Lepisosteus oculatus: one gene and its partner. The protein of the gene in region 1 interacts with the protein of each later gene in a pairwise test. Links are inferred from orthologs where the notes say so. Each region holds a gene or a part of one and is shown on either strand. Other genes may lie near its edges.

Region 1 (7,405 bases):
GTCTCGCCATGCTGATTTTAAGTCCCAGCGGCAGCAGCAATCCAGTGAGGTGCGAGGAAAATACACAGAATCAGTCCTCTGTGCTCTGCTCAGGCATTCTAGACCAGTTTGATTTCCAGATCATCGACATGCCCGACAGGCTCTATGAGCGGAGTGTGGCACCCTGGAACTATGTGTAAGTACACCTCATGTTTTTCAGCTATGATTCCTCATGTTTCAACTTGACATCAGTGTATTGCTAGCTAGATTTACCATCGAAACCATGTCTAATCACAGCAACGGCTTAAGGATCATTTAACTGTTTTAATGTTTTGTACAGAATGTAATATTTTAGTGAAATCATGCATGACATCGGGTATAAAACTGATGGATAACAGCACAAACTTCCATTTAGTGAAGCTCTATCCTGCAGAATGCAATGTGGTAGTTAAACATACATGGAAAATATTGATGACCTGACTTGGAAAGATCAAAGTTGCACAAAATGACTTCCCTCAATACTTGTCAGAAAGTTTTTTTATATCTGTACAGACAAGACGTTTGTGTTGTTAACAATAACTGAAGTCTTGAGACAAGCCCTCAGAAATCTCATTTAGCAAGCGACACACACGTCAGTCAGCTGATGGGTGTAGTTGTGTTGGACCTATATACTAACACTGCTGGAGGGATTTGGATCAATAGGAACTGCTGCTGTACTCTAAAGCAAGGTGCTTCACGCAGGCAGTTCCAGTAAAAACACACAGCTGTGTACAAAAGTTCATTTGGAAGCCAGGCACATCAGAGAGTCTTAACTTATGAAGCGTCATTGTCGATACAGTTACTGCATTCTCTCCTTTCAACTTCCAGGCCTTTGGCAGTTCATCAACAATTTTGTTAAAATCACAGCACTTCTGAAGTTTTCCCTGTGGCAAAACCCAGACCTTGGGGTTGCAGATTTCTGTTCTGGTGCATCTGTGTACCACGAGCAAACTGATGGCGAGCACTGTTCATTTTATTTTGCAGGGTGAAGATGGACGTGAACCGGATACCCCAGGTTATCCACGAAGCCCACTGCACTTCCAGTCACAACTGTGAGAAAGTGAAGGACAGCGCCTCCAGTTTAGAAAGCATCCCCCTTTCCATCACAATCCCTGTGCTTAAGAAAAAAGACAAGTGTGCCAGCTATTCAGTGGAGCAGGAAACGATTAGGATAGCCTGTATATGTGCCACAGCCAGACAGCAGTAAGCTTGACTAATACGAGCCTAACTAAGAATAAAAAGATACTTTAAAAAGTTAAAAAAATGCACTTTACCAATGTTCACAAAGCTTGCACAACTTAGAATGTTAATATGTGGACATTATATGTTTTGATGCTGGAAACTGATTGCCTCTTGAAGGCAAAGCAAAAGGAAGGAAAAAAAGTGGTTAATGTTTCCATTCTACTTTATCAATCCATACAGAACCAATACACTCCACGGACCACAAGCAAAATGGTACATGTTGAATACAACTTAATGCGCTTAACACTTTTAGAATGAAAGAAGAATACATGAATACACACCTATATTTAGCTGAGGTATCCAGGTATATTTAAGGTGAGTTACGTAAAATTCTGGCTGTCGAAGCTCAAAAGAAAGAGGGAGAGGTGCTGTCTCTTATTCCTTTACAGAGTCACAACAGCTTTTCATTTTTTTCCTTAGAGTTGCAAAGTCAGAATGGGCTAAATCTATTTGGTTTCGGACAGCACCTTCGGAGTTTAGCCTACTCTGAAAGTCCAGAAATTGTCCGTGGATAAGATCTCCTGTAAAGGTGAAATAGCAGTGACAAAGGGTAGATATGCATTCGAGACATCTAGCAATAATCCAGAAAAGTGATGGCAGTTGCCATTTAAACACGAATGCCAGAACAAACAGTGAATATGTCAGAAAATGTAAGCTAAGTCATGTTTTCAACATGTTACTATCTTTTCTAATGGTTTTGCTTAATGTTGCCTTCAATGTTGGATCCTAAAATAAAATGAATAACATTAACTGTGTATGTGTGTCCTGACTGATCATTTAAAATACACTGGCTGCTTTTGTGAGACTTACAATTCATATATTTTATCCGGGACCATCAAAACTAAGCCAAACCACAGCTATAAAACGCAGGATAAATGAACAAACCAAACACATCATATAGCTAAAACTGTAAACTACATCTCGAATGTATGCATATAAAGGAAATAGAACAACTCCATCAAGATTTAAAGTAGGAGTCCCAAACCAGTTCCGAAAAGAGGGTTCAGTCTCTTCTCCTTTTCATTAAACCTGGGCTCTCAACTACATAGTGTATGTAACTTCAGGACAGTAATACTCCTAGCCAGGGCGGGACTCAGAGGGGACTGCAAATGATGTGAATCCCTTGAGTAACCAATTGTTAAAAGACTTCAAGAGGCATCCTATACATGACTCAAAAATCATTTAGATTGTTTTATTAACCGCTCAGGTCTAAACAAAACCCAGGAGACACTAGTCCATACGTGCACAGCTCTGGCCCTTGAGAGAGAGGGGCTAGCAGGTTTTCTAAGGCTCTTTACATTCTCAACACAATGAGGACCTCAGATAAATGTGACACTGGTCTATGTAAGCGAACATTGAGCTTGATGATATCACATATGCCAAGGGAGAAAGAAACAGTACAGACACTGTGCTCCTCCTCAGAGGTATTGACCCACCTTTTGAAAGGATCTTCGCTATAGACTGAGCCAAAGAGGGCTTCTCAGCTACCATCAAGACAGTCTTCATTTCGGGATTGCAGATGGAGAGTCGCAGGTTCGACTTCGTACGCAGACAATCGGATAACTCTTGGAGGCCAGTTATTACTCACTGCGACTGAAGAAAAAACGATCTCACATCAGCTAACAGTGTCTGCTGCTACTGTAAGAACGACATACTTGAAACTTGAAACTTATTAAGAAGACGTTTCATAATAGGCCGAGGCGGACCTGAACACAGTTATAATTGAACACCCTACAAATCAACATTCAAAAAACAAATCACAAGTTGATTCCTACGGCTAATTTTGATCAGTATTGAATATTGTATTATTAGTATGATTTTATGAATACTCTGGTGTAATCTGACTTACACAGATGATAATATAATTAATAAAAGCCTAAATTTAGACTGAAAGCAGATTAACAACGTCAAACGTCCTATGGTATACATAATAAAAAACTGCGCTATTCTAACTTAAATTTTCGCTTCAGAATCTTCACTTTCTAAATTAGTTCCTTCACAGCTGAAAATTAAATTTTACCAATAAATAAGGTAATCGAGATAATTCTAGTGACGCTCAAAGCCACTACAGTAGTTAGAATTATACAGTAATAGTACAAACAAAACCTTACAGAAGAGAGCAGGAGTCGGGTTATGAAGATACTGGAAGACGCCATGACACCCACGACTTGGCTGATACACTTCCGGGTCACGACGAGTTCAGCTCCTTGATTTTACAGTAAAATATCAAATATAATCCAATTCGATTCTTTTAGTTTTTTGCGTGGTGTGGGTATTTTGAAATGATCAGCAGATTCTCTGACAGCAAGTTCCTTTTCCCCTCAGCAATTGTTACCAACTTCACGAATACTTGGATACTTTTGAGATGTTGCTTTTAATCGCGCCTGGACGATACGGCGAATAATGGCTGTTTGTTTAGCTTATATTGATAAGTTAATTTTATAAAACATGGCACATTTACATTTTTAGACTCCAGACGTGTAACTGTGCTGCGGGAACAGAAAATATACAGTGTATAAACAATATAGCTATAAACAAGACAGACTTGCAAACGTCCTTCTGCAGATAAAACTAATGTATATCGTAAATTTGTATAACTCCATCTAAATTACTTCTGATCGCCTCAAATATGCAATATATTTACCATTAGGCTTCAATATGAATGAATGTACTCATGCACATGCTTTGCTACACAATTTTAACAATTGCAAATGATGTAAATTGCTTGGGACCAGATGTTTGACTTTCAGTCAATTCCTCCTGCCACACACTGCACACATCCCCTAAAAACCCAATACCGTGATCCAAAACAGGGTCTGGCAACTCATCTGAGCTGCATAACGTCAACATGAACAATGTTCAATCTCGAAGTCTAAATCAGGGGATCTCCATCCTCTCCCCTTGTAGAGCCCCAATTCAGCAACTTCTATAACTCGCCACTTTCTAAGGACAAAAGAACAGTAATTTTAATAAGATCACTTTATTGGCCATATACAATTTCTTGTATTAGGAATTTGTCTTTTCACAGACCCCTGCTTGCTCATCATGAGACACACAGACAGGGAGAGAAGCTGGGGGTCAGAGCGCAGGGTCAGCCATTTATACGGCGCCCCTGGAGCAGTTGGAGTTAAGGGCCTTGCTCAGGGGTCCAACAGAGTAGGATTCCTCTGCCGGCCACGGGATACGAACTGGCAACCTTCCAGCCACAGCTGCAGGTCCTGAGTCACAGAGCCACCACACTGCGGTGATGATAATCCTTTGTGACCTCATACCAAACCCCATGAGCCTTCAAAGGCAGAGTTCTGATAATTGAACAGAAGTCTTGTTTATTTCTACTAATCTTTAGAAACAGATGATCTATAAGAGTGAGTGGATTGGGGCTTTCCTTGAGCTGGCTAAATAAAACCCCTTTTGCTTTAATTTAATTCACATACACATTTTTCCATGTTGTGGACAAATGTCATATTGATACTGCCACAAGAGTAACACAATTTGCATGGAACTGTTGCTCTTAATGACAAATTGCTCTAGCCTGTAAGTAAACAATTAAACCATATTTTGCAATACACACTTATGATAATGTGGCAGTTGTTAGACAGCTGAAATTGCAAAAACCCTGTCACTGAAACAGGACACATTACTAAGGAATGTTCTAAAACCCAGAGCTCAACACAGAAGTAACCCCACTCAAACAGCTGGATTACCTTGAGGATTATGAAAATTGTTAAATTAAAATGTCTTTCTAAACAAAGAGTTCAGTCAAAGGATTTGACTCTCCTCTGTAATTAGGACTATGAAACATTGTCCTAAGAGGTGTCTTCATCTTCCAGAAACGTTCTCAAAAGTATAATGTGTAGAAGGGTAATAAAAATGGGTACAGGGACTATGTGAGTGATTAATATAATCTATAAAGCAAAAGATGCAATTAATAACTCCTACGCAAATCATAATTATGTCCTGTTGCAGGGCAGATGCGATAATTGGTGGCTCTGGAAATTGGCACCCTCTCAAGCTTTTTGGAGTAAATATTGTAACCTGATGCTCCTCGACACTGTGTGAATTAGCTAGTTTCTCAATCCATTTTGCTTCTGACTAACAGAGGTGTCACCACACAGGTGCTTTCAAAATCTCGAGGGCTGAATGAAAAGAGCATGCAGTGAGGCACACTCTACCTCGAATTCATCAGTTATGGGAATTTCCTCTTTATCCCAGGATAACTTGGGACTGTTGACTGGAAAACAAGAAACCCAGCTGCTGCCCCCTTCATTCCTGTGATGTAGACACTATATATAAAGGGATGGTCAGTTGCTTTCAACTCATAAGCCAACTGGAAGACTGCAAAACTGCAGAAGAAGAGAAGAAAGAGTCCCAATGGCTTTTCTATCACAGAGAAAGGTATGGCAAGCTTTTGTTTCTTCGAACTTGTAAAGCCCTTGAATTATTTTTTCTCGGATTAACTGGAATTATTCCACATCAAGTGTCATAAACTCAGCCATTTAGGACATCATAGCCACACACATTTCAAAGACCTGATGGTGCTCTGCTTTTTGTATCGGACAGTAACCATCTCTAATCCCTCCATTTGCTTTAAATCTGGTGTCCAGACAGAAGGCAGGAGAGAAAGAACACCTGTGATTTATAAGGACAAGGACACCATTCAGACCCTCCTGTCTGTGCAGTATTTCAGTAGCTACTTGATCAAGGATCAAGGAATCTCATCCAGCCATTGTTGGAAAGAAGTTAGTGTATCAGCTTTAACAAGATGACTGGGGAGCTTGAGTCCTCCTCTTGCAAACATTTTTGTAAAGATGCCTCCTGTACTACAATTTAAAGTGCACATTTAAATGCATTTTCCCAAAGTCTGCATTTGTGTAAATCCTTGAATTGTCTTATTCATTACCTTTCTGGTCCAAGCAGAGAGAAGTGTAATTATTTAAGTCTGAACAGGACATTCTGTAGAGCCCAGGAAGGCAGCTCATTGCTCTTATCTGGATTGTCTCCACAGAAGCAGTATTATTCTTGTATCTTGTAAATGACGTTTGACTTGTGCATTATACATTTTCAGCATACCACCCCTTAATTTCATTTCCAAACTTTTAACTCTATATCTTCATCTGGATCAAGAGAAACGATGTCTTTATAAGTAACCTCTTTAATCTAACCTGCCTGCATGAAACACCTTGTGCTTGTCTACATTAAATGTCTTCTGTCAAGTGCTGGCCCGGGTCTTAATGAGGAACCCTGTTCTTAATCTAAAAGTAAATCTTTTTGAATTTCTTACACAGCTTCAATAAAGTTCACAAATCCTTCTGGTTTGATAACTATTCCAGAATTTATATCTTTGATATTTCTGATATAATTAGGAAGAGTGGTGATCCTATTCCAGAGCCTAAATTTGAGCTTTTACACCATATTCCTAACCTCTTCTTCCTGTCCACTAATCAGCTCTTAACCCAAGAGCATGGATTACCCTGAATGCCTAACATCTGCAATTACAGAGTTCCTTAAAATTTGAAGAGCTTCTGAAAATCTAAGTATACCTGTCGCTCCTTCTCTGTCCTGTCCCTAGTTTCCTGTCCTTTGCTGTCCTTCCGGTGTCTCTCTCTCTGTATATTTCCGGGTCACTCATTCACCTTTGCTCAGCATTGACCTTTGGATGTCCTAAGACCCGCCTAGCACCAGGTCGCCCCATGTCCGCTGCCTGAGGGCATTGGTTTCTATATGACCCCTGACCTGCTGAGCCCGGGCTAAACCCTTGTTCTGCCACTACGCTTAGGGTCTTTGTCCACTCTCCTTCCTCTCCACAGTTTGTTCCTTCCAACATCTGTGACAATACCAAGGGACTGGACAACAGTTTTGGACAGTGTTCCAGAGGGTTTGGGTACAATGATCTCTTTAAGATATACTTCAAGTAGCTCTTAAATTTCGTACAGCAGGGGTTCTGCATTCCTGGTTCTGCAGGACCTATGTGTCCGATGTTTTTTCATTTTGGCTCAGCTCTTGTTGAACTGATTATCTACTCATTATTGTCTTAAATAGACCAGTTTAAGAATTGCTTTTAGTTCTTCAGGTGCAGCCTCTTTCAACAGAGCTAGAAAACCCCCTGTCTCCAGGACTAGAGTGGAGTTCAGTATCTCTTCATATC
Region 2 (7,285 bases), on another chromosome or scaffold:
CTATTAAGGTTGTTTTTATTATATGTAAGAAAATGAACCCAAAATGATTTTCAAGTAATGGTTTTCAAGTAAAGCCTTTTTTTGTATCACAGGATTTGAAATCCATATTTTGTGTTTTAAATGTAGACATTTTGTTCATTTTAACTTGAAATTGAAATACAATTGATGCTACTAACATAAACACGTTGCAATGTATGACAAAAGCTTTCCCATTACACTCTGAAATTGAAGCTCTCTGACCTTGAACATTACCTCATCTGATTGAGCTGTTTTCCATTCACAGCAAACCTATTCCAACCCTAAACTAGCAGGCAGGATAATACCTGTCTGGTTGATGTAACTGAAAAACAAAAATGTTCAGTAAAATGTCCTCATTATTAAGAACCAAATTAATAATTTTCTTCTTTGTTACATCACCTAGAACATGCTGAGGGGGGGGATATTTACATAATGCAAAACACCAGATTTATATGATTGTACAGCAGAGTATTATGTATTTTAATGTGCAGTCCAGACAGAACTACAGTTATCAGATGATAGTAGAAGATAGCTTTGTAAAACAACTTTAAAAGAGCATCAGCAAGGACTTTTAATGCTTAGATAAATACATTTAACTCATGGGACATGCAGTCTAAGTCCTTTTCTTTATGAATTCCATTCCAGCAGAGCAGATGCTTGATCAATTCTAACAAAACAAAATGTTTAAATATGTGTGATATTAGGGCATTGTATTTATCGGCAATACATTAACAGAGTGTCCAGCGATTTGAGGCTACTGTTGGAATACAATAATTATTGTTCTTCACAAACTTAGTTACAAGAAAAACACCTGTTAGTATACCAGCAACTTTCTGTTCACCTTTAGAATGACCTTTAAAAATTGACCACATGCATATCACTGCATCACAACTTCCAGCCTATAACATAATTGAAGTTTCAAATTGTACACAATAATGAAGATGTCAGCATGATATTTTACTGAAGTTTTCAGTAATATATAAAGGCGAGTCACTTTTTCAATATCATCTACAACACGTTTACATTGAACATCAAATTAAACCAACTTTAATTGAATGTATGATTGTATTTCAGTAAAAAAAAAATAAATTAATTAATTAATAAATACATTGCTTACACTTATATAGCGCTTTTCTGGACACTCCACTCAAAGCGCTTTACAGGTAATGGGGACCCCCCCCCACCTGGATGATGCGACGCCAGCCATAGTGCACCAGAACGCTCACCACACATCAGCTATCAGTGGGGAGGAAAGCAGAGTTATGAAGCCAGTTCATAGATTCATAAATATACCATCTTTTTGGGGTCATAGGGGATAACAGTGTGGAGGTCAACACAGTCAACCTAAATCCCACTGCAAACAAGACAGTAAAATAAAGACAACAGTATAGTTAAAGGAGGTCTTTACATGGAATTCATAACATTTCCCTTCTGTTCATCATGTTGTTGAAGATAAATGCTTCTCTCTACAACTGCTTCACTTCAAGTAGGGAGTTGTTTACATCAGTACAGGAATGACAGATAGTTGTAGACAGACGGAATTCCTCCCCAAGAACCTCTCCAATCTGTTCTTTCATCTTTACAATTGTTTTAGCAGAAACATAACAGAAAAATATATATATTTTTTTTTTTTACACGAAGAGCTGTCACAAAGTCAATTAATCTGATGGGTTTATTTGGAATCAACGGTGAAACACAATCTAGAGGGCAAGGGTGGAAACTACAGGGAAGTACACTGTAAACTGGCCAGCAGCCATATCACCCTGCAACTCACAACTGGCAGCCCACTGAAGCTAAGCAGGTGTGAGCCTGGTCAGTACCTGGATGGGAGACCTCCTGGGGAAAACTAAGGTTGCTGCTGGAAGAGGTGTTAGTGGGGCCAGCAGGGGGTGCTTACCCTGTGGTCCATGTGGGTCCTAATGCCCCAGTATAAAGGATGAGATGTAAAACCGAGGTCCTGACTCTCTGTGGTCATTAAAATTCCTGGCCAAATTCCCCATTGGCCCTTACCAATCATGGCCTCCTAATAATACCCATCTATGAATTGGCTTCATTACTCTGCTCTCCTCCCCACTGATACCTGATGTGTGGTGAGTGCTCTGGCGCACTATGGCTGCTGTTGCATCATCCAGGTGGATGCTGCACATTGGTGGTGGTGGAGGGGAGTTCCCATTACCTGTAAAGCGCTTTGAGTGGAGTGTCTAGAAAAGTGCTATATAAGTGTAAGCAATTATTATTATTATTATTAAACTGAGAAAACTAGACACCTGTTTACACAAAGGGTTGTGGGAGTCTGGAACAAGGTTTGCCACGTTTTCAAAGCCAGTACCCTGGCTTTCAAGAACTGGCTGAAAAGAAATTGTGTAAGAGCAGTCAATCGAGATTGTTTTATGTTCTTGTGTTGTTCCATTTTTGAGTGTCTGCAATTGAGATGTTAATGGAATCCAAGCCTAGGATGGTTCTACCCAGAATAATGTCACATGGGAAATCAGCAAGGTGTTCTTCAGTTTACAAAACAATTTTCATCCTTTGCAAGTTTAATGGGGCTAAAATTGAATAAAGTTGTAAGACAGAACCTCATCCCCTGCATTTTGTGCAATTTGTCTTGTAATACACTAGAATACTGAATGTAAATATTTATGAAATGGCTTCAGTACCTTCTCTCACACAGTTTGAATATGATGAACCTCTACTGCTTATTTATGGGTAATTAAAGACCTGTTGGAGGATTTCATTCTTACAAAGCAAGGTCTCTACCTTCTTTTAACTGTGTTGCTCTCATGGGTAATTAATAACATGTCTGTAATAGGTCTTTAGTTAGAATTGCAGTATTTCAGGTTAACCTTCAATACGTTAAACACATCTTCTCAATGTTTCCACTTGTTTGCACAGTCTTTTCTAGTGTAGTATTTCTACTCTAAGCGTTTCACTTGATATACGGGGTATGAGAAGACGTTTCAATGTGGTTTGGCAGCAGCTCGTTGTCTGGCCCGAAGGTATTAGAGGGAGTGATCAGGTTGGCCCAGTCCATGTTTCGAGTTAGCCCCCCTCTGCTGTGGACATTTTTACAAGGCTGGAAGGATTGCTAAAGATAACAATCATCCTGGTTTCTCACTTTTGTCTCCCCTTCCCTCTGGTAAGCGTTATAGGAGCATAAAGGCAAGTACGTCCAGATACAGCGACAGCTTTCCCCTGCACTGTCAGATTATTGAACTCTATACTCTATACCTCTATCTTCGACTCACGCTGATGTTTTTTGCACACTGCGTGTGCTGACTTGCATTTAAATTGTGTGTTATTTAACAATGTTGTTGCTGTGGCTGTCCTGTGTTAATGTTCGGTGTTTCCTTAATGTATCTATATTGTAGTATTCCTGCAAATAAGCATTCCATTGCACTCTAAAAGACGATGTATGTTAAATTTGGACTGCCACTCGGTTGAAGGACAAAACATTTTGGTTAAAAATCCCATGCGTTCTTAGAAGGGAGTGCAAAAAAATAAATACCACCACGAGAGACATCGGGAATTGGGACATACGTTTCAATCAATGTGACAGAACAAATTGCTGGTATCTGCTTAAAATTAAGCATAGGCTTCACTCTCTGCTCTTTACCATGAGAAGAGTCTCCTTTATGTCCAAAAAAGTCAGATCTTATTCGATTCCAAAAGTTGCCGATATACTGCAGAATTCAATAAGACGATTTCGCAAATTATCGTCTTATATTTTTGTGTGTGGTTGGGAAGAATATAAAGTACGACGCAACTGTTAAGGCAAAAAGCCTGTACTACGAGGCGTTTTAGTGGTGTCAATGCATGCACGTTTTTCAAAAGGGCCGATAAACTAAACCTACGCCCAAATTAACGTTTTTAAAACTTTTAAGACTCCCCCAACTTTAACCATTTTAACACCCACGGTAATGTGTGCGGTCTATTCGCTGTTTTCAGTCAGTTGTTTCTACCATTAAACATTCTTTTATTGGCAGGAACGGCTAAAACAAAATGATTGCTGCGCTGGTGCCATAACGTGGAAATCCGCAAAGCCCGGGAAGCAGTCTATTCAGTACGAGCAGTTATAATTAGACGTGAAACAGGATGGCACCCGTCTTTAGAATAACTTGGCTCCCACGACAGCCTAGCACTATTTCATGAAGAGGTGTCCCGGACGACGAGCTGCCGCGGACGGTTACGGCTCTCCAGTCTCTTGACACGGGCGGGCGGCCCGCAGTCGAGCTGGTTGCTAAGCTGACGTCATCGCTTCCGCCCTGCTTCTCCTCCTCCCGTGTCGGCGGCGCTGCTGCCGAGAGAATCCAACATGGAGTAACAGGAGATGGGGCTCGTACGGGGCCACCCTCAGCAACATCACCGCACACTCACAACGACGGGCTTTCGGTAATCAAATTCACACTCCAGCACGGCAGGCGGAAAAAAAGGGGAGGAGGAGGAGGACGAGGAGGAGGAGGTGGTGGTGGTGGAGGGGGAAACGTGTGTGTGTGTGGGGGGAAATCACACATTCGGTGGACCTGCACATCCAAAACAGCAACAAGAAAGCAACAGGAAAACCGGTACAATGTGAAAAACACCGGAGAGAGGAAAATGAAGAGCGCCGAGTGTTCACCCGCTGTGGGAAATTATTGTAGGTGAAAAGAGAAAATGACCGAAGAAACACACCCAGACGAGTAAGTTGGTTGCTGTTTCTTTTTTTTTTCCCCTTGTTTGTGGATTTTGCACTGGAGCTGGAGCTGGTGTGTGTCTTGTGTGTGGTGTGGTGTGGTGTGGTGGGGTTGTTAGTCAAGCTCTCCTTGCGACTTTGCATCTGCTGTTGGGCTTTGCGTTTCGGAGAAGTGAAGTTTGGCCAAGTTGCGGCACTGTTCCGGAGTTGGGAACAGCTTTGTGCTGCCGCAGGCATGACAGGGAAGAGGGGGAAGATCGGGCCTCTTTCTCTGTCATAGAGCGAGTCTTCAGAGCGGAGCGGAGAGAGAGGAGGGGGGCAGAGAGGGTGGAGGTGGATTGGAAACATTTGGTGGAAAAAAAAGGGATAAACGGTAAACAGATTTGGTTTCGTAGGAAAGTGGCGGACGACCTGCGGGTCGCTGTGCAGGCGCCGACGCCGTGTTGTTGTCGTTGCGGGTTGTGTTGTGCGTCTTGGCGGAGCGGGCGGCGCGCCGAGGTGCGGGGAAGAGGGCAGGCGCTCCTGCGGGCTTTGTGGTGTTTGTTTTGACAAAGACGAGGCATGAGAAGGGGCTTTCTCTCCGTGGAAGTGAATCAACTGATAGGCAATATCCGCCATTTCTTTTCTTGAATCGCTCTCATTTGCATACCGCACTCATTCATAAAAACGCGACCCGGAGGAGCGGTGTGTGTGGTGGTGTGTATATCGGGGGGGGCTGCTGTTTACAGGAAGCAGTTTTGACTTTTAAAACCAAAACACCTTTTTCATTTTGCTGGAAGACGCACGGTTTGCTGCTTCAGCCTGAATGTTTCATAATGCCGCTGTAGGACGGATCCCGACAATGATGGTCTTTGGACAGTGAACCCGAAACTTAAATACCCACATCACACTTCTGCGTTTATTTTCACAGTGTAGCATTAATGGAAGAGACTCTACTGTAATATTCTACGCGTGTTAAAACGTCATTAAAGGGTTTGCGCGACAAGATATGTTGGGTGTCTTTTATTCGAAAACGTTAGCTGACGTTCTCCGATTGTTTTTTTTTTAACCTAAGAGAGTGCATCTGTGCATCATTGAAATCCGTGGAGTGATGGGCACAGTCCGGTCCAGTTCAGTTTAATGGGTAACGCGAACGCACGTTGAGTTACAGGCATGAGGAGGGGTGGGTGTGTTCTTGAACAATGCGGTGGCGGTCACATGACCCTGGTCATTCACAAATGCGGTAACCTTCAGCCTCCTCCATTCATGCTTGGACCTGCCGCACCTTGAGAGTCAGCAGGATGCAAAACAGTACCCCCTCCCCCCCTGCGAGGATCGCTGTTACACTTTAATGTCATTAGGATCACAGGAGACACTGGCCAGGTTCACACCCCCGTTTTAAGTGCGCATTAAAGGTCTGGAAAACGCGCGTTATCTTCCGACAGAAGTGTCTCCTGTCCTTGGCGCCACGGTAGTTTACCCTGCATTGTAATTAAATAGATACGCAAACGTTAGGAATGAAAGACGATTCCATTCGTTAGTAACCTAATTCAGGACATTGTCGGTCATTTTTGTCTAACTAGTGTAACTTAATCGGTCGTGCTAAATGCAATTAGCACCCTTTTTTGGGGGGGACCAGAAGCAGGTTCTTTTTTTAAACTCCTGGGTATTGGTTCAGAGAATTACGAACTGTAATAGAAAGTAATTACTGTATGACTTGTCACACACCATGTTATCGGATTCCCACACACCCTGCCGAGTACACAAATGAGTCAAGCTCAAGCAGGAAATGGGAAGGTCCAGAAACGTGTTGATTTATGGTGCACGATGTGTACCTGCTAAGGGAGGAAAGGGTACTTGTGTTAACTGGTGTTGAGTGGCAGCTGAGTAGTGATGAGGGTTCTGGATACTGCAGTGGGTGTTGTGGGTTTCAGTCCCAGACAGGGAGCTCCTATTGCACCCTGAAGCTAGTTACTTATCTAAGATTGCCCCCACTAAAGTCCCTACAGTAAAACTGGGTACTCCAGGTACATGAAAGTTAGTTCTCTCTAATTGTTTGAGTAGGTCAAGAGTGAAAGTAAATAACCCAGGTGTAGACATAAGTCCCTTTACTCACCTGTCAGTGTTGGCCACTGTTCTTGTTGCTCAGTTGATCAGAGCCCACCCCCTTCTCTGGGCTTTTTCTGTCCCTTTCAGTGATATAAAAAAACCCACTGGTAATCTCTGCCCAAGCAGTTGACTGCATTATTTTAAAACACGTCTACGTCTTATAATATAGTGCAGGCTACTAATTAAATCTATTGAAGAGAGTTCGCTCTCTGGTGATGGAGTCATCTTTAAGGGTTTGAATGGTTTGGCTCTTGACTTCAGCTGTAAACTCCATGTGCACACTTGTGCTCCTTGGACTCTGGCCTTCCGATTGTTCCCAGTACAAGGCCATGTTCCTTGGGAGGCTGTGCTGTTTGTTCCGTTCCTCCGAAGATGTGTAGGAGAATGATCTCCCAGCCTCTCATCTCCCAGAGTGACCTAATCAAAAAATCCTGTTTAAAAAATTACCTTTATAGCCTAGTGTTTAATTGCTTCATTTGTTATGGTGCGTGTTCGTGTGTTTCAAATATT

The links.
Region 2: the proteins of top3b (region 1) and sprouty-related, EVH1 domain-containing protein 2 interact in binary tests that used the Homo sapiens proteins (3 or more experiments, as listed by UniProt). The link is inferred for Lepisosteus oculatus from reciprocal best matches to the Homo sapiens genes TOP3B and SPRED2.

What each region holds. Positions count from the first base shown.
Region 1 is NC_090717.1:2,012,061-2,019,465, forward strand, and holds the start of top3b (DNA topoisomerase 3-beta-1), read right to left. Parts: upstream 3,448-7,405; 5' UTR 3,372-3,447; intron 2,854-3,371; 5' UTR 2,767-2,853; coding exon 2,697-2,766; intron 1-2,696. UniProt on the Homo sapiens protein: Releases the supercoiling and torsional tension of DNA introduced during the DNA replication and transcription by transiently cleaving and rejoining one strand of the DNA duplex.
Region 2 is NC_090712.1:9,017,958-9,025,242, forward strand, and holds the start of sprouty-related, EVH1 domain-containing protein 2, read left to right. Parts: upstream 1-4,226; 5' UTR 4,227-4,668; coding exon 4,669-4,694; intron 4,695-7,285. UniProt on the Homo sapiens protein: Negatively regulates Ras signaling pathways and downstream activation of MAP kinases. Recruits and translocates NF1 to the cell membrane, thereby enabling NF1-dependent hydrolysis of active GTP-bound Ras to inactive GDP-bound Ras.